Linked DNA regions of Drosophila melanogaster. The protein of the gene in region 1 interacts with the protein of each later gene in a pairwise test. Each region holds a gene or a part of one and is shown in the gene's direction. Other genes may lie near its edges. The genes, in order: CG3088 and CG4069.

Evidence for each region.
Region 2: the proteins of CG3088 (region 1) and CG4069 interact in a two-hybrid assay, tested with the Drosophila melanogaster proteins (one large-scale study listed by BioGRID).

What each region holds. Positions count from the first base shown.
Region 1 is NT_037436.4:9,595,915-9,611,193, reverse strand, and holds CG3088 (uncharacterized protein), read left to right. Parts: upstream 1-9,868; 5' UTR 9,869-9,888; coding exon 9,889-10,647; 3' UTR 10,648-10,704; downstream 10,705-15,279. Other genes in the region: CG3306 (uncharacterized protein), read right to left, coding at 8,732-9,598; CG3222 (uncharacterized protein), read right to left, coding at 10,982-12,121; Tmc (transmembrane channel-like), read right to left, coding at 1,358-3,314, 3,379-3,534, 3,681-3,773, 3,835-3,931, 3,995-4,089, 4,691-4,801, 5,048-5,178, 5,257-5,445 and 6 more.
Region 2 is NT_037436.4:12,526,905-12,543,117, reverse strand, and holds CG4069 (uncharacterized protein), read left to right. Parts: upstream 1-5,802; 5' UTR 5,803-5,895; coding exon 5,896-6,009; intron 6,010-6,073; coding exon 6,074-6,379; intron 6,380-6,437; coding exon 6,438-6,858; intron 6,859-6,917; coding exon 6,918-7,606; 3' UTR 7,607-7,692; downstream 7,693-16,213. Other genes in the region: sowah (sosondowah), read left to right, coding at 1,741-1,830, 1,931-1,936, 2,656-2,728, 2,972-3,496, 4,542-4,568, 4,630-5,303; Pmm2 (phosphomannomutase type 2), read right to left, coding at 7,699-8,463; CG34242 (uncharacterized protein), read right to left, coding at 8,875-9,051; Tsf2 (transferrin 2), read left to right, coding at 9,506-9,566, 9,640-10,067, 10,147-10,280, 10,346-10,506, 10,566-11,017, 11,081-11,245, 11,312-12,370; nst (nesthocker), read left to right, coding at 13,083-13,183, 13,870-15,316, 15,386-15,487.

The sequences.
Region 1 (15,279 bases):
TGAATTGGTTTCGTGGTGGAAAGAGATAAGGTTGGGAAGTGGGGTTTAATAAGCGCATTGTAATGAACTCGGTAACCGGATGTTGGAGCTTAAAAGTTGCCACACGTAATCCGGATCGTTGCATCTTCGTTGTTGTGCCGCCTTCAATCCTAGTTTACGGCTGAATTTACCTTCTCGATTCTGTGGTCGAAATTCATGCACGGACACGTGCCCCAAGTTTCGAATCGAAACCCGAATGAGATGGAGATGTAGATGTGGAGGTGGATGTGCACCCAATCCCAAGCCGCACATGACCAAACTCAATTTCCCATCGCCCCAGCATTTTGTTATGCGTAAAGCATAAATGCGTTTAAGCCCGGCCCGTAACTTGCCTAATTTATGTGCTTAAATCGTTTAATAGAGATTATGTACGCCATGTTTGGGGGGGTCGCATAATCAAATCGGGCACGGGACCCATGTCTACTATTTTTTTTGGGATTTCCGACCGGCGGCCCACATACTCAGTTTACAAGAATGTCGGACAAATGTTAAGTACGAAATAAAAGGGCAAGTAATCCCATGGATTGAGATGTCTACTACCAATAGGGTTATTGACTTCGTTGGTATATCTACACCGTATGCTTATCTCAAAAATGCCTGGCTGACCTTGAAAACTTTAGCAATTCCATGAATTTGTTTACGATTAGACTAAAAGTTCACGGCCCAATGGGATGCCAATCGACACTCGAAGTGGCAAATGGCCAAATAAAAGTTGCCATTCGACGGGCCAAAAGTTCACAATCATGCTTATGGCTTATGTAAATTTTTTGACTGGAAATCGAAGAGCGAGTCCCCAGTTACCAAGTTTCGGTTCCTGTTCCTGTTCCGGCCACCAGCTGAGTTTCGCATCAATAGGGAAAAGGACTCCCGAGAGCGATTATTATGATAAAATGCCTTACGCATTGCTGCTATTTTGCCTTTTTCTTTCCCAAATCGTTTGGCCTTTTAAGTCAAGTGGATTTTGGTTTTGCTAGACGAGCGCAAAAATTTGATTTTCAAAATTCCCATGGCACCCTCAAAACGAAGGATACAAAAAATGGTGAAAAAAAAGGAAGACAAAGAGTACTCAAGTGCAAAGGCGGAAGACAAATTTTGCGTTAAATTTTCCGGATAATTTAGCTAAACGGGCTTTCACGCCCACAAAGCTTCGAGCGCAACTCCCATTTCAGTTCAATCATATTTAAGTCTAAATAGATTCTGATACAGAGGCACTGGCTTCCGAGCTGGCAGGCCAGGGAAATTGATAGCAGCAGCTCATGGTGATAAATTTAATTTTGAACTGCTAAGTGAAAAGGGGAACCACCGTAATCGCACTCACCCCATCGAAAACGATGACTTTGGAGAGCTCCTGGCCCAAGGAGGTCTCCCAGCACATGGTCGTCAGATTGGTTTGTATTTGCTTAATCGCCAGCTGCACTTCCTTCAAACGCTTCTGCTTCCGCTCCAGCGGAGTGAGCTTCACTGTGGTTAGCTGCTTGGAGTCGCTGCTCTGGGTGGTGCTATCCGGACTTTCAGTGGTGCTGCCAAAAAAGTCATCGCCCTTGGGGCAAATGGTAATCACACACTCCTCCAGAAATTCACTATCTCCATCGTAGTAGATAGTACTTCCCATTTCCGATATGTCCACGTAGCCCACATAGTAGGGTCTATTCTCCGATCCCTCCGTGGTGGTGTATTCATCTTCTTCGGTGGTGCTACTGCTGCTGTCGAAGGCATTGGTAGTGCTCCCTGGACTCGATGAATCAGTGGAACTCTCCGTTGTGGAGGATTCTTCCTCGGTGGTGCTGGTAAGTTCGGTAGTCGTGGTTCGATATCTCCACCTGGGTCTTCTTGTGGTTGTGCTGGTGGTGGACGTACTGGTAGTTGTGGTAATCCTGCCCCTAAGTCGTCTGAGTCTTTCCCATTCCTCCTTGGTTAGAATTCCACTGGGAACTCTTCTTGTTGTGGTGGTTCTCGGTGTGGTTTGCCTAAAAGATGCCCAATTAAATGGCCACCGACTGGGTGTGGCATTCACCGATTCAGTGGTTTCTCGTGGTTGTCCAGCTGAGACAGCGGATTCATTGCGATGTCGCCTGCTGTACTTGCTGGTAAAGAATGGTGATTCGGCCAATGCCCTTTTCCTGCGTCCCTTCGTCTCATTTTCATCGAGCTGCTCCAATACTTTGGCCAGTGGATCGTCCGCCTGATCCGTGCTTTCCTGTTCATCGAAATCTTCAATTTCCGACGGTTCCGAAGAGTAATCCGTTATATCGGAGTAGCTATTATTATCCGGAGCGTCTGATGTGGAATCACTGCCATAATCGTAGGAGCCCTCATCTTCTCCGGTGGTGTAGATAAAGTTATCCTCTCCCTGGGGCTTCTCCGTGGATGTGGTTGTAGTTAGTTTGGTGGTGCTGTTCAGGGGTAAATTAGTGGTGTTTAAAGTGGCTGGTATTGTGCTCAAAGTGGCAGAATTCGTTGTTGAGTTGGGTATTTCAGTATCAATAGATTTTCCCAGGGGTTTTGTAGTATCTGATAGTGTACTATTTATTTCGGCAGTGGTGATCTTCAGTGTGGTTGTGCTCGTTGCTTCTGTGGTTGTGGTGGCTCTTTCAGTCGTTGTGGTTGCCTCAGTGGTTGTTGTCGAGGGCGGTAACGTGGTCCAAGGTGATGTCGTTGTAGTTGTCGGAGATGTTTCCTCTGTGGTTGACCAAATACTTGAAGTCGTCGCCGTTGTGGTGGCTAATGTGGAGGGCAATGTAGTAGGCAATGTGGTGGGCAATGTGGTAGGCAATGCTGTAGGTAATGTAGTGGGTAATGTGGTGGGCAATGTGGTGGGAAATGTGGTGGGCAATGTGGTTGGCAAAGTTGGTGGCACCATGGCTGGTGTTGTCAGGTTGAGAACCATCAGAGTGGTGGCCAAGTGCTTGCCACTGATGATGTTGCGCCGCAGCTTTGAGCATTTTACAGTCATGTTGTAACACTTGAGACGCTGCACGGTGGTGGAGATTAAGGCAGCAGCCGCTGTGGTCGAAAAGAGGCCACCACCATCCTCACCCCAAGTTGCCGTTGATGTAGAGTCATCGAATAGCCCATCCGAAGTACTTTCACCATATAGCGATGTCGTGGGTGTCATGGCCCTCAGAGCCTCAATTGAACTAAGTAGATTCTTTAGCTCCATGGTGTTTGTTTCGTTCTCCAATTTCAACATCTGTAGCGGTTTCTCCTTGCTGTTGATCTTGTAGATGAAGGAGAACATCAGCGAGTACAAGTTTAACATGTTCAGGATCATAATGCTGCAAAGTGAGGGCGCTTCAGTTATATACAATTATTTATCATTAGCACTGGTTTTTTTATTACCGAGCCAATTGCAAACGCAGCTGCTGCCTGGGATGCCAGTTCTCGAACAGACCCAGTGCCTCGAATATCATGGGCAGGAAGAAGGAGAGCAGGGTCATGGTCACGTTCACCGCATTGCGACTCAGCCAGTTGTCATGCTTGGCCAAATCCTCAGAGCTGTAAATAAAAAGAATTACAGAAGAAAGCAATTTTGAAATAATTCATATAAATGTTTAATTTCTCATTTAAATAAATATTTATCAACGAATTTAAATCAGTATTTTTCGGTGCATATTTCATCGCCATTTCCCCAATCCACTTACTGATTAACCAGCAGCACGACCGTAGCGCCCGACAAGCCCAGCAGCCCCATCACCAGTATATTGACCAGTATCCTCTGGAGTATGACCCGCCAGCTGAAAGGACATGGCGTATCGATTATGGTAAGTAAATAGCTTCAGTTTGGCAGCGACTTACTTGCGATTATCCTTCTTTTTCTCCGCTTCCTCCAGCAGTGCCTCCTTGAAGCCCACGACCACGGATGCGATGCGATTGTGCGCCGTTTCCGCGTGTCCTGTGGGAGATGCAAAACTTGTGATGATGGCAGCTCGTTGCGGAACCAACGCCGGCCACTTACCAATCATAAAGTCCCAGCCGGTGAAGAGCTTCCACGAGAAGACGCACTCGTCGTCCTTCGAGGAAAGTTTTGAGTTGCGCGAGTTTTCCGCCATTCTGTCGATGGATCAAAAGTGGAAATTCAGTCATAATTTGTTCTGAAATACCCGCAATTCCCACAATTTGAATCCCGTATAGCATTGCGATTGAATTAATCCACGCACGTTGAGCACGTGACCCGCAAAAGTGGCTATATGGAAAGGCCAGTGCCGGCTGCTCACTGTTGACATTGCTGCTTTGTTCAATTACGAAATCAACATAATGCCGACAAAGCCATTAAAGCGTGTCAGACGCCCAATGCTCAAAATGGCGTTTTGCCGTTTCCGTTTCCTGTCCCGCCCCTCACTGCCAGCCCCCTTCGAGGCACGTGCTCTGTTGTGTGCGTGCGTAAATCATAATGGCCAATGCTTTCTCCTTTGATTATTTTGAGGCGTCGAAACTTTTTCAGACCCCCAGACACGCCTCGTGGCCAAGATTTGTATTATTTAATCAGAGCTTTAGTTTTGTTTAATTAATTAACGAGCAGTCTGACATTTAGTTTACTTTTTGCGGCTTCGATGACCAAGTATTTAATGAAGTGCCTACCCAACACACTGGGAACCATATCCATACCCATGACCCCTTGACCCCTATTTCTTTGTGCTCCCACCATACTCACTTCCTCAACGTGGCCACAAAGCTGTAGATGTAGACCAGAACGGCGGTAAGGAAATAGGCTAAGGGAAGCTTATATCCGGACGTGCTAATGCCGGATGTGCTTGAATAGTATCTGGGGGATAGGAAAACAAGAGGAGGGATGATATTGGGATATTGCCAGCAATTAATAGAGCTCTCATAACTAATTTATAATTAAGATGAACAAATAAATATTTACATAAGAACATAATTTTCTTCCAAAGTTATGTTATGTTAAAAAGGCAAATGAATTAAAGGAATTATTATTGATTTATTTTTAAACAGACTGACTTGAAAGGGAAGCTTAGCCCTTGTCCAACAAAAAACCAGTCTGGCTTACCCATAAAACATAGGTGAATATTTCAGGTATCCCTCGAACTCCCAGAACGTGAAAAGATTGCCGGCCACCCGAGCCTCCGGGTCGGACATCCTTTTCCTGGGATCCGTTTCGCCGTGCTTTGTGGCAAAGTACTGGAACAAAGCCAAGCGGAAACATAATTGTGTGTAAAGTGTGTGGCAAACGAATTGGCTACTTCTGAGGACACTCACCTCGGGGCCAATGACGAAGGCGACCAGCGGAATGGCAATCATGATATTGACCCACATAAGCCATCGCAGGAATGTAAAGTAGGAGGCTACGCCGGAGCCGAAGTGTGATTCGATTTCCTTGATGCGCAGCTCCCAGGGAATGAGGACGGTAAGGAAGCTGGCCGTCTCACGTTTCCAGTGTCGCCATCGCTGCAGAAAATGTCGGATGCAAGAAAGGATTTATTTCTAGAAAGGAATGGCAGTCGGCAAGTTCGCATTTTAATTGGTCTCCCAGCACAGCGAGAATGCCATGGGGCTCACATAGCTCGGTGAACTATGCGAACAGTGGGGATTTATTGAATGTCCGTCCCGACCGGAAAGTGGCCCATAAATTGTGTAAACATTAATATTTTTTTGCATGGCTTGGGGGCCTTTCGCCTTGTGCTCGTTGCATTTCGCATTCTGCAGGCGTTTCCTCCAAAAAAAAAAAAAATAATAATAAAGAAGGGGGTTACAAAATCACTTACTGCCGCCATTAAAATTTTAAACCTCGCCCACAAGTCTCTGGTGCTGCGTGACATGGCGAAGCGCTCCTGGAGCGCGCCCTCGTGGCGTGCCACATATGTTTTGGCCTGTCAACACATACAAGGAGCCGCAGGATCCGCAAAGTCCAAACATCATTAAAAATTCCAGGGTGTAGCGAAAGATGGGAGATAAAGAATGAAATCGAAAAGTTTGGCTCAGCATTTGATGAGTGTTCGGTGAGGTTTGCAAGGAAGGAAGGATAGGCGGTCGTAACATTTTCAACGACCTGACAAGCGGCGTGAAAACGAACGCGCCCAGTTTTTGGGCAAATCCCCCATTCAATTCCACTCCCATCTGAAAACCATGGATACCCACCTGCCGCACCAACTTGAGCTTCTTGCGGATGGGCCATGGCTGTAGCTTCACCGACTGTATGACCTCCTTGTGCAGGCGGATGTTCTCAAAGATTTGCTCTTGCGTTGACTCCTGATTGGTGCCCTCCTCTGCAAAGTAAAACGAAAGTCAAAGCAAGGCAAACAGATTACACATACGCCCCGTATGCCACGCCATCAAAACGGTCCGCACGTAGCATGAAAAATTACAGAAAACAGGCCCCCAGACGTTGATTAGCTTGCCACTTGAGGATGACCGAGAAGGACCGGGGAGCAGTCCGCTCGTTAACTAAACGAAATCTGCTCTGGACACTTATGGGCCACGGACCACAGACTTGCCTGAACTTGTCGTATAGACACTGGAGCGTCGTCGCTCCACACTGTCCAGAACGTGATCCATGGGACTGGATGCACGTCGCGAACTCCGGCTGCCGCGTTTGCCCCGATAGCCGCGCACACTGGCACGTCTCTGCATTATTGCCGATACGGAAATTGTGTAGCTCTCCTCATCGTCAATGTCGCCACCGCCGCCATCCTCGTCGAATCCGATTCCAGGCGAACGCTGGTGGGCAAAGTGAGGCTCCTGGTGGCAACTCTCGGCGTCGCTGCTCTGGTTTTGCAATGGGAAATCTGGAGTGGCAGTGGTGTTTGGTCATTAGTTGGTTACTTTATATTAAACACAGACAGAAAAGATTACTCTGCATTAAAACTGCTAACCAAAATGTTTAAATGCTTTTATTTAGATAACAAAATTTAATGCAAAATATTAAAAAAAAAAATTGTTGGTAATTTATAGAATCAATAATGCTAGAAACAAATAAAGATATTTAACTTATTAAATATTAAATGTTTAAATAAAATACCTAAACAAGCGTATATAACAACTAATAAAAAACTATAGTTTGGTTTGCTAGCTATTATATATATTTAACCAGATATACGTTACGCACCGTTCAGTTCGTAGGATCTGTGGTCCTCCTGTGACGCAGCTCTTTAAAGGAAGTTAATAGAAACGCAGAGACCGAGATAGTGATGGTCCAAGGTATCCCTTTAAAGGACTCACCTCCTGCCTCGCTGTCCTTTGTAGAATTCCCTCTTGGCATCGGCGCTGCTCTGCATTTGCCAGCCACCTCTATCCAAGTCGCATGGCGGTGCCCAGGTCACAGAGAGTTGATGAGGCGATGTGACTCCCGAGTTGTTCTACGAATGGATGGGCAGCAGCTTAACTCAACTAATTTTCAAGTGCTGTTCCGGGACAGCTAATTACTCAAATCACACTGGTACTCTTTGCGTGCGGAATGACCTTCGCTGTTAAGTGCTTATTTATTAATTTCACTGCTGTGCAATTTATGTGTTACATCTCTTCTAGTGCCCTCAAAGAAAATCCCTTTAATGGACAAGCTAGCACTTTTTGCTCCCGATTTAGCCAGTTATAAGCCGAAGCGCTTTGGAGCAGCCTTGTGCGCAGACTGAACGGCTTAGCTGGCTGGCAGGGCTACCAAGGCACAAAATGACCATCATCCAAAGGGACGGCGACCACGAAGGCACCTCACACAGACAGGTGAAACTTAAATTTTTCTAATAATGAATGAATATGAATGAAGAACGAACCACCAACACCCCCCGCCCCGCCCCGCACGATGGGCAACTTATCAAAGCCAAAACGTGCCCAAAACCCACACAAGCGCACACACTCTAAAGGAATTTACATGGACATGCGGCAGGACATTGCGACTAGGTGGCTGAAGGGGATCGGGAGTCCGGGTCCGAGTGGCTGACTTCCTCGCCCTGTTGGAACGAAGACGAATGAGTGTAAAAATTGCCAACGGCATGTGATAACAACGCCGTATCCGGGCGTAACCAGCCAGGACTTCGAATGTCCATTTAGATGGCGCTTGTGTGTATGTGATATTGAGTCACCTTGTATTCTTGGCCCGGCCATGTAAATGAAAATCAAACATGCAAGGGTTGATAAAGAAAATCGCGAAATTCTAGGTTTTTCCCGGACTTTATCCTCTTGCCTGTTTCCCCCATTTTCCGGTGTGTGTGTGTTAGCTTGTGTGCTTTTCTGGGGGAGCGCCCACTATTGAAATATATGTTTTGGCGCTCTCCACTGTGTTCTCTGTGTTTTGCCTTTCACTTTCTCTGATTTCACTTTCGTTCCTTTTAATTAAATGGATTTCTCGGCCGGCTTTAATTAACATCAAATTTATCTTTACGCCCCCGTGCACGTGTAGCAATAATGTTCGGCGATTATGGGTTCATTACCCGCTGTGCCGGTGGCCTAGGCCTAAATGTTTACAATTTTCCAGGTTTAAGGTAACATTTGAGCCAAAGGTTCAATGCCGCCATGGACCCGATGACCTAGTAAAAAAGAAAAAGAAAAGGAAAGCACACACCTTTAGGCCTAAGTGGATTTCCATGTTCGCCTGCAGTTTTCGCGACTTGGCCATAAATCTAGAGCTCCTAACATGGAGGCGTTGGTCACAGAATGTGGGTCAACCAACGATTTACAATATATTAATTTAAGGCCACATCGAAAAGTAGAAGCGAAAGTAACAAAAAATTCAAAGGATCAATCAGTTGATGCGACACACGCTGCTCTCGCTCTTCGCTCTTGTCCAATTGCCATGGAACTCCTCATGACGCAAACCCATGGCCTGAGCCTCCGACGTCGTGGAATCCGTAGTGCTGGCCAGATGGAGACGCTCCGAAGCGAAGCTATCCAAGCTGGTGGAGTGCTTACAAGGATGGATTTTGGTCATGAACTCCCTTTGGCTGCAGCCTGCATTCTCCTGATTGTTCCGGATGATCTCACGGGCAAAACGGGCCAATAACTTCTGTTTGTGGTGACGCTTGCTGAGTGGTCCATGGGCACAGTTCTCTCGGATCCAGCGACGAGCCTCCCGACATCCTAGATATATACTCTGGTTGCTAAACGTCTTTGTATCCAACATGAAGCCACGATTGCCCAGCAGTCCGAAGCCCAGATCGAAAATATTGCGACCCAGGTTGAGCGGATTTGGTCCGTCCTTGGACTGGAACTTATTCGGACCGACGGCATCCATAGGCTCCTTGGTTTCCTGGTAGAATCGGCGATCCTCCGGCGTGCAATACGTCCAGGGTTTGAAACTCATCGTGTAATGATCCTTCATCTCAAAGTCGACGGGCAGACTATCATTGAAGTTAACCTGATCGATCGAGACCAGTCTGCCATTGTGATGGGTTACTTGATAGGTAACGCCCAAGGAATCAGGAATTTGTATGGTGCCTTTTCCGTGGAAACGATTGTTGAGAAACTCTCCCGTGTAGCATGTCCCATCCGGATAAATGTAGACACCCATCTCCTGCATGCCCAACTCATCACTGGGACCAACGTATCTGGATCCAGTCAACAGAATATCAACCTGGGTAATGCTTGAAGATTTTGTTGTCTTCTGCTCCATGATTTTTAGAAAGCTTATTTACACTGTATACCAAAAATAACAATTTTAAAGTTGAGTAAATGTTCGTTGAAATGGGTGTTCAAATAATTTACTATATATTATTTGAGATAACAAGTTTTGCCGAACTAATATGATGCCACTAATGGCAATTTACTTAAATAATTATAACTTAAATGAGTAACGCCCCTCAAGATAATCAAAGAAATTTCACTAATGTTCGCTAATTACCCAGTGAATATCTATATAAACTCGTCAGTTTAACTAGGCAGTAACAACCTTCGCTTGAAATCATGAAGCTATTGGTAGTTTTCTTGGGTCTCACTCTCGTCGCAGCAGGAAGTGCTAAGAAGGATTCCGAGGATCCTGATCACATTATAACCAATGGAAGCCCCGCTTATGAAGGTCAGGCACCCTATGTGGTGGGCATGGCCTTTGGACAGAGCAACATCTGGTGCAGTGGCACTATTATAGGCGACACCTGGATCCTTACATCCGCTCAGTGTCTAACGGGCAGTTCCGGAGTGACCATCTACTTTGGAGCCACCCGGCTGAGTCAGGCCCAGTTTACGGTGACAGTGGGAACTAGTGAGTACGTTACGGGTAATCAACATCTCGCCCTGGTTCGAGTTCCTCGAGTCGGATTCAGCAACCGGGTCAACCGGGTGGCCCTTCCATCACTGAGAAATCGATCCCAGCGCTACGAGAACTGGTGGGCAAATGTCTGTGGATGGGGAGTGACCACCTTCAGCAATGGACTCACCGATGCGCTGCAATGCGTCGACCTTCAGATAATGTCCAATAACGAGTGTATCGCCTTCTACGGATCCACCACCGTCTCCGATCAGATCCTGTGCACCCGTACGCCCAGCGGCAGATCCACTTGCTTTGGCGATGCCGGCAGCCCCCTGATCACCAAACAGGATTCCACCGTGGTGGGCATTTCCGCATTTGTGGCCTCCAACGGGTGCACCTTGGGATTGCCCGCTGGATTTGCTAGGATCACCAGCGCACTGGATTGGATCCATCAAAGGACTGGAATCGCCTACTAATGGGTCAAATAGTAGCAACATTTAATAAAAAATGTCCAATACCTGCATAGATATTTTATTGCTTATAAGGTCTTTTCTACTTTAAAAAAAAATTGGCTAATATACAGCAAAGTCCGGTGGGTTGTACTGAATACTAATGCAAAATATACTTAAAATGAATATGATCCTACTGACCATTAAACTATTAACAAATACTACGAGTATTCTAAGAAACTTTAAAAACGTTGAATTTTATTTTTCAGATTACAAAGTAATTGCATTCATTTTCTCTCCGAGCTCTTAAGCTTAAATTTTAAATTGAAAAAAACATATATAAAGACATTGATCGGCGGATCTACAACTCGAATATGGACCGGGTCATGTCCATGTAGCTATTGCGGCGTATTAGATTAGATTGCACCACATTTATGTTATCCGCCGTCCGTTTCCTCATCATGTTGTTGGCCGAGCGGTATGATTCCTCAAAGTTTAGGACCAGTTCATCCTCGCCAAAGCTGTCCGTCTGGCAGCTGGAGGGTCCACCCGACTGCGGATTGCGTACATCTGAGGTGCTCGACCATCGGCGTGGTCTCTTCACCGTCTCCATTTTGGCGCAAGGATGCACGCGCTTGAACTCCATTTGATCCTTCTGCTGTTTATCCAACATCCCAGCATAGGCACGCACACACATCTCCGTCTCCCAGGCGGGATCGTCGACGGGCATGGGACGCCTTGGAATGTTCTCCAGCGGCTCATTCGGCTGTCCACGTTTTTTGGTCAACTTGTGGAAGTATCGCTCCCGATCCACTTGTCCATTGGGTGCATATATGGCCGTGCTTCGCAACTGTGCTCGTTCCGTTGCCAAATTGTTGGCTATAATGCGGCGACAGAAGTCGGATGGTGGCTCAATTATACGCGATGTTCTCGCCTTCCTGCAATTCTTCTTAATCCAATCCTTATCTTGCGGGCAGCTCACGTACATGAATTGATGGAGCGGACTCGGACGGTCCGTCAACCAGCAGGTCTTACTATTGAACAGACCCTCCTCCACATCATAGCAATGTTCGGGAATATTTCTGGGTTGCATTTTCGATGTAAGAAAGGCAGTGGGGCCAACCGGCTGTTGGCCATAACGACGCTCGGCATGATAACGCCGATCCTTGGGCGTCAGGTAATCCCATTCATCGCACTGCAAGACCATGCCATTAAATCTGCCATCCACATGCAGACCGTCGGAAAACCACATGTCCTCCACTGTCACCAGGCGACCATGCTCGAACTCACCCTTAACCGTAAAGCGGTACGGCTGGGCGAGTCGCAAATGGCCATAGCCATGGAACTGACCCTGATGGAACCTTCCTCGATACTCGCTCCCATCCGGATAGCGGTAGCTTCCAAATCCGTCCATCACATTCACCAATCTATCCCAGGCGCCCTCATAACTGCTGCGCGTGATGAAGTGCCTCTGCTGGGTCTCCGCGTTCAGCTGCGACATTTTCTCAACTTTTTTTGTTTCTCTGTGTTTGGGGTGTGGGGACGAATTTTGTGTGTGTAGTCGAAGCAACCAAACCAACTCGAACGTGCGAACTGACAAACTTCTGACCCACTTGGAATGGCCTGGCTTGTTGAGATTACGCATCAGCTTTATGACTAAATAAATGTTTGCCCCACTCGACCGATCCCATCCCCAATTTCCCGCTTCCTCCACTGACCGAGCCCCGAGTCCAGGGTGTGCCCATCCGCATCCACTCGGTTTTGGCCAATGTCGCATGTCTGGCCTAATGAACACTGGGATACCCTTGTGTGGCAATGTGAAGTTGGCTGTGCTATTTGCTGTGCTACCTGCTGCCTAAGTAGCCAAGTGATTTAACTTGTTTATTAACTACCATAAAGTAGAGACCTCCGGTGATCTGAGATTTTGCATGCATATGTAGAGTGAGTTTGCCAAATTATACTAATGAGCTTTAAAGTTAGACCAGGAAAACCACACATGATATGCGTTCAGTTCATTAGCAATGTTTACAACTTAGAGGAGATAAGAGTCGAGGCTTGGTTAAGCAAAAGAGAGACAGTACTTAAATTATGCAAATGTACAGAATTTTTAATGCAGTTAAATTGAAAATTCATTTTTAAGAGCCTCAAAACCAATGCTCGAAAAATTCTAAGTTCTAAGTTTTACTAAGCCTGTCAAGCGAAACTTCTGCATTGACCTAAGAATAGCTCCACCTGTCCACCGATGGTTGTAAAACAAAATGATTTTAACAGCCAACCGGGTCGAGCTGCATTGCTTAACCCGGCCAGAAGCGAAAGCCAGTTAAGTGCGATTGGTGTTTATGGCTATTGGCTGTGGCAGCGGCACTTGCTGTTCCCACCTATCCTCCTGGTCCGCTCTCGGATATAGCCATTCCGTAGACCGTGTCGTCGTTGTTGGTCAGGCCAAATCGTAAGCACTCCCGAATGGGCCGTAAATCATGCTCACTTACCTCACTGTTGGCGCCAGTGGCCACGTTGCTGGTGTTCCCATTGCTGCTGCTGCTGCCCACGCATCGGAAATCGACGGAACCACCTGATGAGCGTCGCGGTTTGCCGATGTCCAGTCGCAGGATACCTGGCTTGGGTCGTCGTGGAGCCGGGGCCGGTGGACTCCGCAAGGATTCTCCATTGCTTAGCCCCGAAGTTCCGGCTGCAGCTGCTGGTTCCTCGTCGTTCTGCATGGCCAAAAAGGAGCGCACACTCACGTTGCGAATCGCGATTATTCACCGCGCACACACGACCGCCGTGCAGCGCCAACGCGGACTGACTACATCCGTGTCCTGGCCAGGACTTTGAAGCAACAATTACGCGCGCAGCCACGGGCGCTGGAAATAAAATGTGAATTAAACGCGCCACCCACGCGATAAGTGACAATGAATGTGCCATGTGAGTGTGCGGTGTCCGTTTCTCTGACTCCAGCGAGTCCAGCGAGTCCTGCTAGTTTGGCCACAGGATGACGATGACGTTGGACAGGACACGCGGCACTTTCAACTGCTTCTCCTGGCTGTCACATGACACAAAGTGAACTTCCTGCTTTCAGGGTCACATCGCGGCCTACCTCTGTGTAATTATGTCTGCCGCTGCCCCAAAAAGTGTCAACAGCTCGGCCCCGAAAACACAAAATATCGCATGTCGCATTCGCCATGTGAGCGGGGAAAAAAAGGCCATTTTTCATTTTGACTTATACTTTCACTTTTCATTTTCATACATTTTTGCGCCTTCCATTAGTGCGCTGCGTTGTGTCCTTAGTGTCCTTAATTATGAGCGCACAAAAGGTGCCTTCACTTTGTTTTCTAATTGTGTTACTCCGTAATTGGTAGGATGAGTCTTTTTCCTACTCAATAAAAAGTTTAATTGCTATTTTATTTATACATTTATTATTTTTAATCTTGATATTATCTTAAGCTTCATCAATTCCCAGCAATGAATGACTTGACATTACCAACGACTGTTCTCTTCGAAGTACAACTAACCATAAATACCTACGAAAGCTGGGAATATATGTTTATCCCAGTGGGGGGTATTGCCAAGTCGAGCCCATGCTAGTTTGCGTAGATGATATCTCCTCCGCGCCCCGGCCACTTGGCCAGAATGCGCTTGTTAGTCGGCACAGCCGTTCCATACGAGCCAAGCCCTCCTGCTGCGAACTGGGCTCCTCCGGCGCCATGTCCTGGCACATCCTTGTCTGCTGGCCCCGCTGATATGCAATGCCTTTCTATTACATGCAAAGCGCGTTAAATTAATTGAACTGTAAAGTGTCAGCAGCAGCGGCGGCATTGGAAGTGGCAGGACCTGAATAAGGACATGTTGCCCAGCATGTTGCATTTAATTTTTATTATTTTCACTTTATTCTATTGCGTTGAACCAGAGCAACTTATATTTATTCAACTTGGTTAAAGGCTAGGCTAAAGTAGCTTATAAAAACTTTTCCTATTTGTCGCAATTGTTTGCGAAATGCATGAATGGATGTACGAGTATGTGTGATGTGTGAAGTGTTCGTGTGTTTCTGTGTCCTGTTTTTATGCTTAGTACAAATTTCAGTTTCAGTCTCAAAAATCGTTTTGCATAAATTAACTAAAACCATTTTACGTAAATTAATTTGTGTTTTTGTTCTGACATTTATAAATTTCGTACCTAAATTGCGAAAATGTCATAAAACCGTTAGGAAAATCGAGTTTTCATTGTAATGCCGCGCAATAAACGAAAGAGCTACCAAATAATGCAATAAAAACTCGACCGAGTTTGATGATGATTGAAAACCATTTGGCCGGCTTTAGCTTCACTCAAATTTAAATTGCAGAATTTCGTTCACCCCCATGATTGTCAGTGTTTCGCAGATATCTCTGCATATTCAACTATCCCTAACTGGCTATACTATCCCTAACTTAACCCATCAAGGGTGAAGTGCAATCAGTACAACACCTTTGCAGCTACCCACCTAAGTAGTATGTGTCTAGCTACCCTACGAACCCCGCTTTTTATAGCCAACAAATCCTCATAAATTTTGAGTAAATTGCTTATACGCCGCGTATGCCGCAAGTTCGGTTTGCATTTTCCCTCAGCAGCTGACTTAAATTTATAGAGTTACCCAAATAAAAAACGGGAAAAAAACGGGCAAGG
Region 2 (16,213 bases), 2.9 Mb from region 1:
GCCAGAAAGTAAAGGCATTTTTTTCATAAATTAATAGTATAAAGTGTAATAAATATTAATGAAATATTTCATCACATTTTATGAGTTAGAAAATAACTTAGAAACCCTTTTCACATCGAATCGAAAGATATGCCAAGGCTAATCCAATAGAAATCAATCGAGATAGCAGCAAATGCTGATTGCTTTATTGTTTTCGCTGAGCAAACTCAATTCATTTTTTGCCACCATTGTCGCATCGTTTGAGAATTTAATTCGCCTTATCTAATGCGCTAAAAAAATGCGCTAATTGAATAGAGAGGAGAGTCGGCAGAGTAGCACTGTAACCAAATTATATACACATTCCAACGCTGCTCCCGCTGCCCCATCTGCCAGCTTCTCGCTGAGATTACCAGATGCCCAGTTCGCGATTCCCAGCTTGCAGCTCCTGGCCGTGATCATTGGTTGTGGTCGAAAGACAATGGACGAGATTAAATGCCAGCCTGGGCAGATTAAGATGCATCGACAGCAATAACTACGTCAGCGGCGGGAGCTGGGAGCTGGAAGATGGAGATGGAGCTGGATGTGGATGTGGAGCTTCTTAAACGGGAGACACGAAACAAATTTCCCTTGAAAAGAATTACATACCGATCGCCAGCATCGGCCAGACTATGGGAATTGACTGAAGATCTGAAACTCTATTTGTTCTTGGGCCGTTCCCGTTTGCGATCTTCCGATCTTTCGATCCTCGCGTTTGTCGCGTTTGTCCAGTAAGTCCAGAAAGTCAGGAAAGTGACCGTCTTCATTGTCAACACATGGTGGATATATGTATGTATACATACATGTACGTGGGCTGCAGTGCGGCGGCAAACAATTCTATAGAAAATCAGACATGCACCGCCGCGCGCCGAGATGGAGATGCACTGGTGCTGGCGGGATCTGGCCAAGATCTGCGCGGCCAAGATGCTCCAGCTTCGGCTACAGTTCCGTCCCAGCCAGCCAGCCAGCCAGTCAGCCAGCAAATGGCTTATCGCTGCCGAGCGAATCGTTTTGCCATACTAAATTATTATGTTAACATGAAAATAATTGAGGCAACAGGCATTCGGCGGTGGCTGGCCAATTTATTTATATCGCTGAATCTCGGATACGGCAGCTGGGTCGAGTCCTCAACCTCAACCTCGTCCGTGTCCCTGTCCGCGGGTACGATGCCGAGTTCGGCGGTCCAGGGACCAATTGATGGCGGTACAAATAGTTCCAGAAGTGGGGCATCTGCGTCGCGATTGGGACGCCGACTACCGTTCAGATGGCGTGTTCACAATTAATCCCTCAACAAATATCTGTGAAAACTCAAAAAAAAAGGGCAGCTAGCAATCAGCTAAATGTAACTAGCAATAAGTAAGATGGATTTAAATGGCTTAAAACAAAATGCTACCTTGAGTCAGCGATACTCTATATTATGTGATAAGTTAAATAAGTAGGACACTATAATTCCAATGTAATTCAATTTCAAACGATTTATTATGTAATTTACATTATTATATGCATACTCTACTGCCGAATATCCATATATAAATATTTAAAATAGAATAATACACTTCTATATGCTTTAAATAACTAAAATATGTTAATAATGTCACATTACTTAGTTTTAGATTTAGTTTAGTGGTTGCTTTGAATTTGGTCTGCTGCCTGCGCATCATTATCATGAAATTTGAAAAATTCCCCTAGACAGACATACTAATCCCCTACTAATTCCATTTTCAGACCGCTCTACACTGGGCAGCGAAGCACGGAAACGAGGATGTGGTTAAACTAATTGCCGGCACCTACAAGGCGGATGTGAATGCGAGAACGGTAAGCGATTATCTAAGATGCAGACGTGTAAACTTCATGATATTAAAATGCCCCATTATTTCCATGTGATCGCCTGCGCCAACTGTTGACTTCGCTACAGAACGGGGTGAGTATGTGTGTGTGTCATGTGATGTGTACATCTATTTTGGCCATTTTAATAATATATACGAGAGCCAACTTATTGGCTTGTCCCAGTCGCGCGTGAATCGGCGTCATATGTCACCGAATCGCGACTCGAAACATAACCCTTTCCCGCAGGAATTCTGCATTTCGGATAGAGCAGGCTGTGACAAATCATGACGAGCATATCCAATTGGGCCTCACCAGCATGTCACCTTCCTCCCGGGCAACGCAATCCTTTCGAGTTTACAAAATTTTAAATTGAACGTCGCTTTGTTCCGGCGAAATTAAACTCACTCAATTGTATTCAAATGTCACAGCCACATTTCAAAAACAAAGTGAATTGTCAATCACAATCCGCAGGATTCGATGCGCCTCTTGCCCCAAGAAAAAAACACAAATCCCAAAATGGCAAAACACGCATTTGATAATTCACATGGGAATTTAGAGAATTTAACTCTTTCAGCAGCTTGAATTTTAATTCCTACAAAATGAATAGTTACTAGAATATTTTAAAGTATTTTATGAACTATTTAGTTTGGGATTTTATAATTTACATTGAAATTTAGAGCGATTTAACTCTATAAATAGCTTGATTTGTGATTCCTACAAAAGTCTAGGTTACTAGAATATTTTTAAGAATTTTATAAACTATTTACTTGCATTTTTTGATTTACTACTATTATTATTATTACTTTTATTCAGGGATACACTCCTCTCCATTTGGCTACCCAGTTTGGTAGGGATAATATCTTTGAATTACTCTGGAATGTCTACAGTGAGTACTAATATTATTACTACAACCAAAATACCACATTTAAGCAAGCAAAAGGTCATAAAAATTAATAAATATTTATTCATAATTTTAAATGCTTATTATATTGCTCGAAATCCTTTGAAACTTATAAATACTTTGAACTTTTAAATTGACTTGCTCATGTGCTATTTATAAACTTTACTGCTTTCATTTACTTAAGAGTTGCAAAATGAACTGAATTATTTGTTGTTGTCCATCCTGCAGAGGCCAATCGGGACATCATGGACTGGAGCGGCAACAAGCCACTGGACTACAGTCGCCAGCGGTCGAGCGTCTCGGCATCGACGTGCAGCAGTGAGTATGCAAAGTATTTCTTCGGTGCGGATGTGGGCAACAGCTTCCGCACGCTGGGCTTCATTGAGAGTAGTCAGATCACCGGCGGTACACTGGGCAGTGCACTAACACGGGGCAAGAAGCGGGCCCAGAATCGGTTTGCCACCATCAGCGGTGGTTCGCTTGGCGGCGTCGGTGGTGCCGTTTCCCGCTCCCAATCGATGACGGTCAGTCGGCGGCCCAAGAAGCAGCCGGGTCAGCCGATCTCGGGGATCTTTAAGCCCGCCACCGAGGACGGTGATCTGTTGCCATGCGAAATGGAGGGGCAGCCGGTGCCATTCCGTGGCGCCAGCACGCGTCGCAAGGAGAGCTTCCTGCGCAAGACCTTTCGAGCCACCGCAGGTGGCAGCCGTCGGCCGTTGGCCAAAGATGTATTTACTAACCCACCGGAGCACGGTTAATTGCTATCCTAAAATCTATCCTAAACATTGCGCTAATGTATACTACTTATATGTATGTCAAAACAATGTTACAACAATTGGTTGGGGCTGTACTATATTATACATTCTATATACTTTTAAACTGTAACTGATCCGGTATCGGTATCTACATATCTATGAAATTTTGTATAATCACTAAACTTTACTAGCTTTTAAGTACCAAAGCATGGCCTTAATATAGTATATATTTTTTTACCAAGGTGTATTAACTTAATGTAAGCAATCACACTTTTGTGTACATAAATATTTATAAATAATCGCATGTGTATCGCAAGGAAAAACACAATAAACTACTGGCCCCTTAAAAACAAAAGCATTAATTTATAAATAAGTACTATAATCCTAAAAAAAATTAACTAAGTTTACAAAGAGAATGCGCTTTGGGAGATAATAATAATTTACCCTCGTTTGCAAACATCCATCAAACTTACTGAAATGTAGAGCATACAAACCCCAAATCGACTCAGTAATTAATGTCAGTAAATGGGATCCAATCTATCTATCTATCTATCTATTTTCGATTTTGCTGCATGTAGAGATACAAGCGATGCGATTCAGCGGCGGACTCAACGGAACGTGGAGGCAGGTTGAGATCTAACGATCTTGAGTATTTCAAAACCCTTAGTGTTGATTTTGTGCGATGTTCAATTTATTTTGCTAGCTTTACGTTGAATTAGCCACATTAGCTTTTATATATTTAGCCTGTATATATATATATATATTATTTGCTTTTTGTACTTTGGTAGCTTTAAAACTTGTATTTTAGTTATATTTTGCTAGCATTTGAGTTGCATTTCCCGTTTGCGTTGCCAATTTGGTAAGTTTTCTTTGTATTATTTTCAATGTTTATGCTCATCGCTCGCATTATTTTATAATTGTTTCCAAAAAGTCCGCTAACCAAAGGCAATATTTTTCAGTTTATGCACGTTCATTTGAATATTGATTAATATAAAAAAATGAATAAATATTAATGAAATTTCTTTGTTTTGTCCACTTTGCAGAAATCAAGGCTCGCAAAAAGCATGCAAGTAAGTCACTCTTAAATGCAAATGAAATTTTATGACTAAGTATAATATTTTTCCATTGCAGTCGAAAAAGATTTGGGCTTCCTACGGATTGGTTCTCTGAATGTCCGGGTAAAGAAGACCACCGAGGCGTTCAGCAACTTCTTGGGAGTGGGCAATGGCAGTGGGGTGGCGCCGACGGGCTATGGCAATGGCGGGTCGGCGGTAGCAGCAAATCGCCATCACCCTCGATCTCACCGAGCCCCTCATCAGCGTCATCATCACCACGTTGGTACGACACGGAGTCGCCATCCGAATCAGAGGGCAGCGATGAGCACACCCTATGCCACGAACGGCGGCCTTCCGTCGAGGGCGAGTGTGCCCAATAGCCGGAACATCTACGATGGGGTGCACAAGTCGTGGGGATCGGCGGACAATATACCGCATCGATCGGAGGACCTAATGCCGCCGCCCAAGGCGGTGGAGTATATCAGCAAGCGGAATAAGTCCTCGAAGCGTTCGTCCTATGCATCGAATACCACCGATTCGCCGCGTGATTCCATCTGCTCCTCGAACTCCAGCTCGAATCTGAATGGTGGCTATAGCAGCATGCCTACGACCCCGAATCAGTTGCGTGCTCCCAAGGGGATCGCCGCATCCTTCGCCGTGGACTCCGACTCGGACTCCGCCTGCGGATTCGACTCAACCTGGTCGGTCAATTGTCGCGGTTCCTCGAGCAGCAATCCTTCGCAATCCTAATTACCTGAATATTGTTGTTAGCACAGTCTACATACCACCATACAACTTTTAACATTGACCATGGAATCGTGAAAGTATTTGTTTTTCAATTAACTAATATATATACTTTAAGCATTGACCATTATTTAGACGTTACATTTTCTTGTGTTTGTATCTAAAAGTTTGTATCTTAAAAGTATCCAACATTTGTTATTTCCTATTTTGTGCCCTTTTCTAGGGACATCCAATATAATGTTTCATTTAATATGTGTATTTTTTAATCGAAAATAAAGCTTGTATGCTTTTTAATGCATTTATGAATTAATTGTATTGATATTTTATTTGTTATTACTCATAATACAAATTTACCCGAATTTATTTTTAAATATCCAAATCTCAATATTTTGAGCAAAAAATTCAGAATTTAAATTTTTTCGTTGCGCGCGCACTTTTCAAAAATAACCGTTAAGACATTTCTCATAATACCGTCGAAAATACTGAAAATATGGTAAACTAGAAGACAGCTCTTCCTCTTCTCTTATTTATAAACGCTACACGTGCGGCAAAAAAAGTTTGTTGATTTAAATTTTTGAGCTGAAATAAAACACTTGACATGGGCAAAAAGGACAAAAACAAGAAGAAGGGCAAAGGGGCCGAGAAAACGGCCATGAAAACGGACAAAAAGCAGGCGGCGCGGCAGAAGAAAATGCTGGAAAAACTGGGAGAAGTACGAACAAAAAAATGCAATAACCATAACATTATGTTTACTAAACGAATAATAAACTTCACAGGCAAATATAGCTGATATCATCCAATTGCTGGAGGCCAAGGAGGGCAAGATTGAAGCCATCAGTGAATCCGTTTGCCCGCCACCAACTCCACGATCCAATTTCACCTTAGTTTGCCATCCGGAAAAGGAGGAGCTCATCATGTTTGGCGGCGAACTGTACACTGGCACAAAAACCACAGTGTATAACGATTTGTTCTTTTACAACACCAAAACCGTCGAGTGGAGGCAGCTGAAATCGCCATCGGGACCCACGCCCAGAAGTGGACACCAAATGGTGGCTGTGGCCAGCAATGGAGGAGAACTCTGGGTAAGTTATCAGCTAAAGAGATCTCCGTGAAAAGTTAATTACCATATGCACTCTACAGATGTTTGGTGGCGAGCATGCCAGTCCCTCACAGCTGCAGTTCCATCACTACAAGGATCTCTGGAAGTTCGCACTGAAATCCCGCAAATGGGAGAGGATAGCTGCGCCCAATGGACCAAGTCCTCGGAGCGGACATCGAATGACCGTCTCCAAGAAACGCCTGTTCATCTTCGGTGGCTTTCACGACAACAATCAGTCGTATCATTACTTCAATGATGTTCACATCTTCTCTTTGGAATCCTATCAGTGGCTTAAAGCGGAGATAGGAGGTGCAATTGTGCCATCTCCACGTTCCGGTTGCTGTATTGCAGCTTCTCCGGAGGGAAAGATCTACGTGTGGGGCGGTTACTCGAGGGCCGCCATGAAGAAGGAGGCGGACAGAGGAGTAACACACACGGATATGTTTGTCTTGAGTCAAGATAGTAAGATTTAGAATCTCTGATTTATATTACTTATATTAATATCTCCTGTTTCCGTTCAGAAAACGCCGGCGATGCAGACAACAAGTACAAGTGGGCACCCGTGAAACCAGGTGGATATAAGCCCAAGCCGCGTAGCAGCGTCGGCTGCACTGTGGCTGCGAATGGCAAGGCCTATACCTTCGGTGGCGTTATGGACGTCGATGAGGACGACGAAGATGTGCACGGACAGTTCGGCGATGATCTCCTGGCCTTCGATTTGACCTCCCAAACATGGAGATTGCAGGAGATCCAAACTAAAAGCAGCAGCGCTGAGAAAAAGGATTCGGAGGAGAGCAAAGATGTGGAGATGTCGGCTGTTGATAAGCCAGTGACCACCACCACGGATGGCATTTTCACGGTCACCGTTGGCGGTCCCAGTACCAGTACCACGCCATTCGTGTCCAAAATACCCAGCCTATTCGCCAAACCCAAGCCGACGAATGTGCCATCTCCGCGCATGAATCCCGGCATGTGCGTGTGCAAGGGAACGCTGTATATTTTCGGTGGCATCTTCGAAGAGGACGACAAGCAGTTGACCTACAACGATTTCTACGCCCTGGACTTGCACAAACTGGAATGGAAGGTGCTAATCCCCAATAGCTTGAAGGGCCACGAATGGGAGGATAGCGACAGCAGCAGCTCCGACGAGGAGTGCAGTGGCAGCGAGGAGGATATCTCCAGCAGCAGCTCGGACATGGACACGGATTAAGAATTTCCAGTGACTATATATTAAATTTGGTTAACAATTGTACACATGTATAAAAATGGAATATTTTCAACTGCTGAGTAAGCTCGAAATTCTCACAGCTCCAGAATCTCGGTGAGAATGCGTTGCGTATCCTTGGGAGTATATACCCTATGGCTGATGGTTCGAGGATCGCTATAGATCTCATAGTCATTGCCGCCCGGCTCCGTTTTATCGCCAAAGAAGTGGATTTCCTTGAACTTGTAGTGCGCTTCGATGTGTCGCAGGCAGTAGGTCTTGTCCCAACCATGCGGGAAGACATCGAAGCTGATCTGACCACCAATCGAGTACGTGAGATCCACATCGGCAAACTCCTGCTTCAGGTCCTTGATCATTTTCTCGCGCACCTTGTGCTCAATGTCGTACTCGGCGAACATGTTGCGCTCCTCCCGAGTGCACTGCCTGCCAATGGGACAAACGTTCATCATGCCATTCCGGAATTCGATAAAGGTGCCCCTCTTGATGGGCACATCCAGTTCGGACAGATAGCGCAGCACAAAGTTGATGAAACGCTTCACCGTCTCCTCGCCCAAATGCATGATGATATTCTGCTTTCCCACCTCCTTTCCGCCCTCAATCTGCACCAGCCCATTTTCCGGGAATATGAAGTCGAACTCGTTGAGTATCTTCCTGCCATTCAGCTGCTCGAACATCTTCTCCAGATCCGAGCCTCCGACGATTCCGATGGTCGCCCTCGGCTTAACCCGCGAGTAGAAGAACTCCTCGAACTCCGGAGTGACCACGGATCTGGGCATCGTTAACGTGCCGTCCACGTCGAAGAGCAGCAGGATTTCATCACGCTTCAATGCGGCGGTGGTCATTTTGCATTTAAATTTTGTGGTAAATCAGCAGGTGTTTAATATCCAGATATTTATGTCCACGTATGATTCGAGATAAAGAATTTTACAAGCGGCAACGCAGTGGTGAGAAATCCCCTAAAGCTTTCGATGCACCGGCAAGGGGAACCAGTTCCGGAATCCAAGTGCAATCAAAATTAATGTTTTGAATTGCCTTTTACGTTAGGTTTACTATTTAAAACAATGAGAGTATAAACATTCAAGCACAATCATTTGGATTTTCCTGCATGTATAGGTAACAGTTTAATTCATGGAGTTCATGCTGTCAGGGTACAAATAGTTTCTATTTTAATAGCAATTTGTACATTGCAGTTCTTTATCAGGCAAACTAGAATACACATATTTGGGTTCTTAAGTGTAGCATAACAGGGGGTTCTACTGCCTTTTAATGTGCTGCAGTTCATCTCTCTTGATTTTGCTGTATTCCTGCAGGGTTTTGTATTTCTCAGTGTTAACCATGGGGTCCACAATGACGGGGTATAGGGTGAGGCCCACGGCGCCCACGATGCAGGACACGAATCCAACGAATCTCCAACCACGCAGGACTGCCATTTAGCTAAAATATGGAATATTTTAGCTGACTTTTCGGTTTGTTATTATAAAACACAAAACACCTGGTTGACCGTAAGATGCTAGAAAACGCCAAGTGTGTGGTCACACTACTGTGGTCACCGGTGAAGTGCAGTAAATACTACAGAAGAGATAACCTGATAGAAAGTAAAATATAAATAAACAAGATTACTGTATATATAATAAAAATAGATATAGGTATAGATTAAACTAGAAATATCCTGAATGCTAAATATGTTTCTTGATTCATATCTCACTTAAGCATTCTCCACTGTGTGTACCTGTTGGTATTTTTTGAAATCATGTCTATTTCTGCCCGCTCTGGTTACACTGGCTTCCTTGAGCTGGGCTTGGGTGTGGTGTTTTGTTTGAGTAATTGTTTTTGCAGATAGATCTTTTTAGTTAATACACTTATTAATATTCTTATATCCCGAATATGGCTAGCAGCCTCGTTTTTGTGGCTCTAGTCGGCGCCTTATGTTTTACGCTCGCTAACGGTAAGTTGCGGCTGGAATACGAAAGTCGCCCATTTCTAGGGCGTTGGCATGAGTTAAAACCACGATTTTGCAGCACAACATCACTACGATGAGCACAAGACCACACGGATGGTGTGGTGCACCAAGAGCCAGGCGGAGCAGTACAAATGCCAGAACCTTACGGTGGCCATCGAGCGGGATCGGGCACTATTCGACGAGGTGTTCCTCAATCTCACCTGCTTCATGGCCTACAGTGCGGATGAGTGCATCCATCACATTGATCGCGAGAAGGCACACATCACCACGCTGGATGCGGGCGATGTCTTCACTGCTGGACGGTACAACTCCCTCATACCCATTATGCAGGAGAAACTGGAGGGCGGCTTTGCGGACTATCAATCCGTAGCCGTGATCAAGAAGGGATCTCTACCAGACTTGAACAATCTGCGCGACATGCGCAACAAGAGGGTGTGCTTCCCCTGGGTGGGCAGCTTGGCCGGTTGGATTGTGCCCATTCACACGGTGAGTAGAACTCCTCTTTTAAGTTGATTGTTTATTTGTTTCATTAGGCAACTAACAAACAAATTTTATCGTTTTGCAGCTCCAAAGGGAGGGCGGCATGGAAGTGGTGGACTGCAACAACCAGGTGAAGACGGCCGCCAGCTATTTCAATAATTCGTGTGCTGTGTACTCGCTTTCCGACAAACACAATCCAATTGGCGACAACTCCGATAAGTAATGACGCATAAAAGCCACAATTTTACACACATTAACTAACAACAAATCAATTTTCAAACCAGACTTTGTACGCTTTGCACTGGAAAGATACCCGGAGGACGCTGCTCATCTGCAGATCCCTACTTCGGCTACGAAGGCGCCTTCAAATGTCTGCTTGAAAAAGGAGATGTTGCCTTCTTGCGCCATTCGACTGTGAATGAAATGCTGCAAACCACCGAATTCAGTGAGTTACCAAAGGGAAACTTCTGAAAACCCATTACTGATCTAAGCTGCGTTTTTTAGAGAACATAGCACCCGACACTTTTGAGCTGCTGTGTCGTGATGGTCGTCGTGCCTCCATCAACGATTATCGCCAGTGTAATTGGGGCCAAGTGCCCGCCGATGCCATTGTCACATCTTCGGCTCGCAGCTTCAGCGATCGCAAGCAGTATCAGCAGTTTTTGAAGCGCATTGCCGAGCTGTACTCCGATGGCACACGTGATGATCAGAGCAGGCAGGGAGGACAAAGCTTCAACAGCCGCAACAACATCAACGATCAGAATGCCTATGGCCAGTTCGATAATAATGATCCGTACAGAACGCAGAATCAATACGATCAGTATCGCAGCGAACGATTGGACAGCAGTTTTGCAGAGGAAAGAAACCAGCAGGACGGCACGAACACTTCCATACTCTATGAGAAGTTCCGCATCTTCGAGTCGAAGCGCTATGGCAAGCCAAATTTGCTGTTCCAGGTAAGTGGATCATATTTTCCGTGATCCGAAATACATACTTAACATTCAATTGTTTTGTGACAGGATTCTAGTCGCGCTCTAACCGTGATTCCCGAAGATGATCAGTCATTTACCAAGTACCTAGGCCCTGCCATTAACTTTATCTACGGCATCCGTGAGTGTCCAGTTCCAGCGATGACGCTTTGCGTGACTTCGGAGAATGAGCTTGATAAATGCATCAAGATGAGGGTGAGTTGAAGAGTGAATATATGGATAGCAAGATGAGTTGATGATCCTTTACAAAAACACTTTTAGACTGCCTTGAAAGCTCACCTCCTGAAACCAGAACTCATCTGCAAGAAAATGCACTCCCACATCAACTGCATGCAGTTCATCGAAGCGGGCAAAGCAGACATCTCCGTTTTCGATGCCGGCGATGTCTACACTGGTGGCCTCAACTACGACCTGGTGCCCTTCATGTCGGAGGTGTACAATCTGGGCGAGCCCGAGTATTATGTGGTTGCCGTGGCCAAGGAGGATGATCCCGATACGGAGCTAACTTACCTGAAGGGTAAGAATACCTGCCATACGGGCATTAACACCGCCGCTGGCTGGACATATCCGATGGCGCTTTTCATCTCGAACGGCTGGATTCGTCCCTACGGATGCGATTCGGTTCGAGCTGCCGCGGAGTACTTCACCAAGTCGTGCGTGCCGGGTGCCATTAGCAATGAGTACAACACCGGTGTGCCCTACGACAGCATGTGCGATCTGTGTCATGGAACTAGCTATCGCTATTGTCGTCGCGATGCCTCCGAGGAATACTACGGGCACACGGGTGCATTCCGTTGCCTCGTCGAGGGCGGCGGTCACGTGGCCTTCATGAAGCACACCACGGTGATGGAAAGCACGGGCGGCAAACGCAAGGAATGGTGGGCCAGGAATGCCCTAAACGATGACTTTGAGCTGCTCTGCACGGATGGTACTCGTGCCGAGATCCAGGACTACAAGCGCTGCAATCTGGGCAAGGTTAAGGCCAATGCTGTGGTCACCCGCGGCGGAGTCAACTACAACGAGACCCAGATGAATGCCTACATCAATCTGCTGACCTATGCCCAACAACTGTACGGTCGCAAGGAAGTGGACGCCTTCAGTTTCAGCATGTTCTCCTCGCCGATCGGGCACTATGATCTGATCTTCCAGGACGCCACGCGGCAGCTGCAAGTAATTCCGCCCAATAAGCGCAGGTATGATGCCTATTTGGGCAGCGATTTTATGCGAGCACGCCGCATCACCGACTGCTATGCTGGTGCCTCCCAGTTGGCATTATCCGTGGGCCTGCTCCTCGTGGGTTCGCTGGTTGCAATGCTCTAAGCCACTAGACTCACTTAGATTTCAGAATTCTACAAGCATCTCTAGCACAAAGAGAAAACATATCAACATTTTTACATTCCAAATATGATTAAGTTAAATGTGAAATCCCTTCCGTCCGAAAATGAAACTCTAACTAGCCGAAAAATATCTGTTGAAGGCTATAGTTTATAATTTATAAAGTCCTGTGCCTTATTATAGTATTTGTTTGTGTACATACCAACTAAGACCGTCCAAAAAATGTACCTAGGAGATGTAAGCCGAATCTTTTACAACCGCTTATGTAAGTATACAAATAAAATAACTAGATAAAGGAGTTATTTTGCTTATTTTGAATTAGTATCATTTGAAGAATCCTAATATCTTGACCGCAATTGTAGCCGCCAAATTCAAATTGAATATGTGCGCTAACATCGCTTTGAAACATAGATGTTATTGAAATTTACGCTGGTAAATATTGCATTTAACCTTAAAACACTCTGTATTGTTTATAAAGCCAGTAAAATGTTTGAAATTAAAGAAAATAGCGTAGTTACAAGTTTCAGCGCAGTGTGACCGCTTGGCCGCATAAGCAAGGGTGGAACAGTGCCGCGAAACGACGGTCACACCCGCCTGCACACATCTGTGGAATTGTTAAATTTCGAAAGTCCGGAAAAACCGGACGGAACCTTTCACCTCGCTCTGGACCAGTGGCACCGCCCTCGAGTATCGCAAGATGTCTATTAACCTGCGCACCGTCTACGCCTTCGCCCGCGAGATGTACCCAAAGACCTCCAAGGAGACCATCCAATATGGAACAGCTGGCTTTCGCGGCAAGTGAGTAGTTGCCTCCATTAACGATCTTAATAATCATCATAATCATTATGCTAACACACCCACACGATGCACACGTTGGCGCATTTGATTAGCACACGGCGATTGTTGGTGGTTTTTTTTTTTTTTTGATAAATGGGCGGTTGCAGGGCTGTGATGTTGGAATTTGGCGTTTATTTTTAGATATTGTTCACCTTTTATCAATGGACATGCCCTTCTTTCGCCGTTATGTCTGCCTGTATGTGCGTAAGTGTGCGTGCATGTGCATATGTGCATACATACTGACGCACAGTCGCGGGCAGCGAACTAGTGCCACATGTGCAAGTTGCAATATTTTCAAATCTCAATGATTAATAACTTGTTATTTGTGAAAAATGAACCAACTAAGTATTTGATTACATAGTTTGTGGTTTCCGCGCCCTTATTTTCTAACCACTTTACAGCCAGATAACAAAGTTTCCATGACACACCTACTGATAAAAGCAATTGCAACGCCTAAAATGAGCAATACACAGTGCTTCTATAGGCTTATCAATCCAGCGAAGATAAAATAGATAGCTAAAGTGATAACACACATATAAACAAACAACATTAGGTACAAAACATTTTCCAACTCCAAAATACAAGCTAAAAGATACTTTTGTATCTAAACAAAATCCTGATGTAATAACTCCGCATTTTTTTTTTAGGGCTGAGTTCCTGGACAGCGTGATGTTCCGCATGGGCGTTCTGGCCACCCTGCGTTCCCGGTATCGCGGAGGCTCCGTCATCGGTGTGATGATCACGGCATCGCACAATCCGGAGCCGGACAACGGAGTGAAGCTGGTCGATCCCAAGGGCGAGATGCTGGAGGCCAGCTGGGAGGCGATAGCCACCGATCTGGTCAACGTCAGCGACCAGGAGCTGGAGCAGCAGGTGGCCAAGATCATAAAGGACAACAATATCGATGTGACGACCAGTTCCCAGGTGTTTGTGGGCATGGACAACAGATACCACAGTCCGCGGCTGCTGAAAGCGGTGGCCGATGGCGTGATAGCGCTAAAGGGTAACGTCAAGGAGTACGGCATTGTGACCACACCCATGCTGCACTACTTCGTGGTGGCGGCGAATACCAAGGAGGCATACGGCAAGCCCACCGAGGAGGGTTACTACGACAAGCTGATCAAGGCATTCGAACTGCTGCGCAACGGGCGCCTGGAGAACGGCAACTATCGCAATAGCATCATCTACGATGGTGCCAACGGTGTGGGTGCGCGCAAGATGCTGCAGTTCATCAAGCGCATGAAGGGCACCCTCAACGTGACGGTCATTAATCAGGGCATCGGTGTCGGCAAGATCAACGAGGACTGCGGCGCCGACTACGTGAAGGTGCAGCAAAGTCCGCCGAAATCCATGCCCGAGGATGTGAAGCCGTACACGAGATGCGTCAGCGTGGATGGCGATGCCGATCGGGTGGTGTACTTCTTTACCGACGACAAGGGTGAGTTCCATCTGCTCGATGGCGATCGCATAGCCACCCTAATCGCCGGCTATCTCATGGAACTGGTCACACAATCCGAGATTAGCCTACGGCTGGGCCTGGTGCAAACTGCCTACGCCAATGGTGCATCCACGGACTACATAGTGGACCAGCTGAAGTTTCCCGTTTCGTGCGTACCCACGGGCGTGAAGCACCTGCACCACAAGGCCTTGGAGTACGACATTGGTGTTTACTTCGAGGCGAATGGCCACGGAACGATTGTGTTCAGTGACAATGCTAAGGCGACGATTGCCCAGGTGGCCCAAACTAAGGAGAGTGCCAAGACGTTGCTGCTGCTCATCGATCTTATCAACGAGACCGTGGGCGATGCCATATCCGACATGCTGCTGGTGGAAACAATCCTAAATCACAAGGGCTGGGATGTCCAGGATTGGATCTCGTCGTACAACGATCTGCCCAACCGACAGCTAAAGGTGAAGGTGCAGGATCGCAATGTCATCGAGACGACGGATGCGGAACGCGTGTGCGTAAAGCCCGAAGGTCTGCAGACGGAAATCAACCAGGTGGTGGCGAAATACAAGCGGGGACGCTCCTTCGTTCGCCCCTCGGGCACCGAGGATGTGGTGCGCGTCTATGCCGAAGCAGCCACCAAAGAGGTAAGGCTTATAAGTTAACTCTTAGCACTAGATCAAAACACTCTACTTACTATCTTTTTTTTACGACAGGACACCGATAATCTTGCCTACGAAGTGGGTCTGCTGGTCCAGAAACTGGCCGGCGGAGTTGGCCCCCCATTGACGAAGCCCAACAGCAGTGCCCACCTGTAGAGCGGAATGACGAACTAACCTCTCACGGGAATCGACAATTGACACAGATCCTGGATGGAGCAATAAATCTCTTTACTCTAAGGTGCTCAATAACTTAAAAAAAAAACAACTTAACTCTCAAACGCATTTATTCTGCAAATGTTCACTGTCTTTTGTGTTCTAAAGATGACATATTTTTTGCCATTATTTATAAAGTTCTTTTCAAGTTTATTTATACATATGTACATTGTGAAAGTTGCAATTTTATGTCCTTCGCTATTTTGTAATTGAAGAATTTAATGAAAATGCAACCGCTACGTTGATTTTTTTGTTGAGCTGCTAGCGGTAACTATTGAAATTATAAAAGAATTGATAGTAGAGATTAATGAACCTAATCAAGTTTGTATTGCTATTTTCTATAAAAGTATTTTTTAAACAATCTAAAGATCCTTTTACTTTAGGTCGAATATAAATCAGTTTTCACTTCATTTGGAATTTACTATGCTGTACGCACAATTTATGGCAAATTTAAATCACTGTCCCGGCAAATAAATTAAAATTTTGCCAACTTTTATTTTTAAACTTAACATTTTAATAAATGTTAATGGAGCTGGCAGAATTGAAACGCGCCATCTGGCGGTCAGTAGCGGAGACATGTAGGACAGTAATTGATAAGGACTACTGTTAACTGTTACAATGTAAGCAAATACTTCAAAACTGTTATACTTGTGTTAATTAAAGCATACG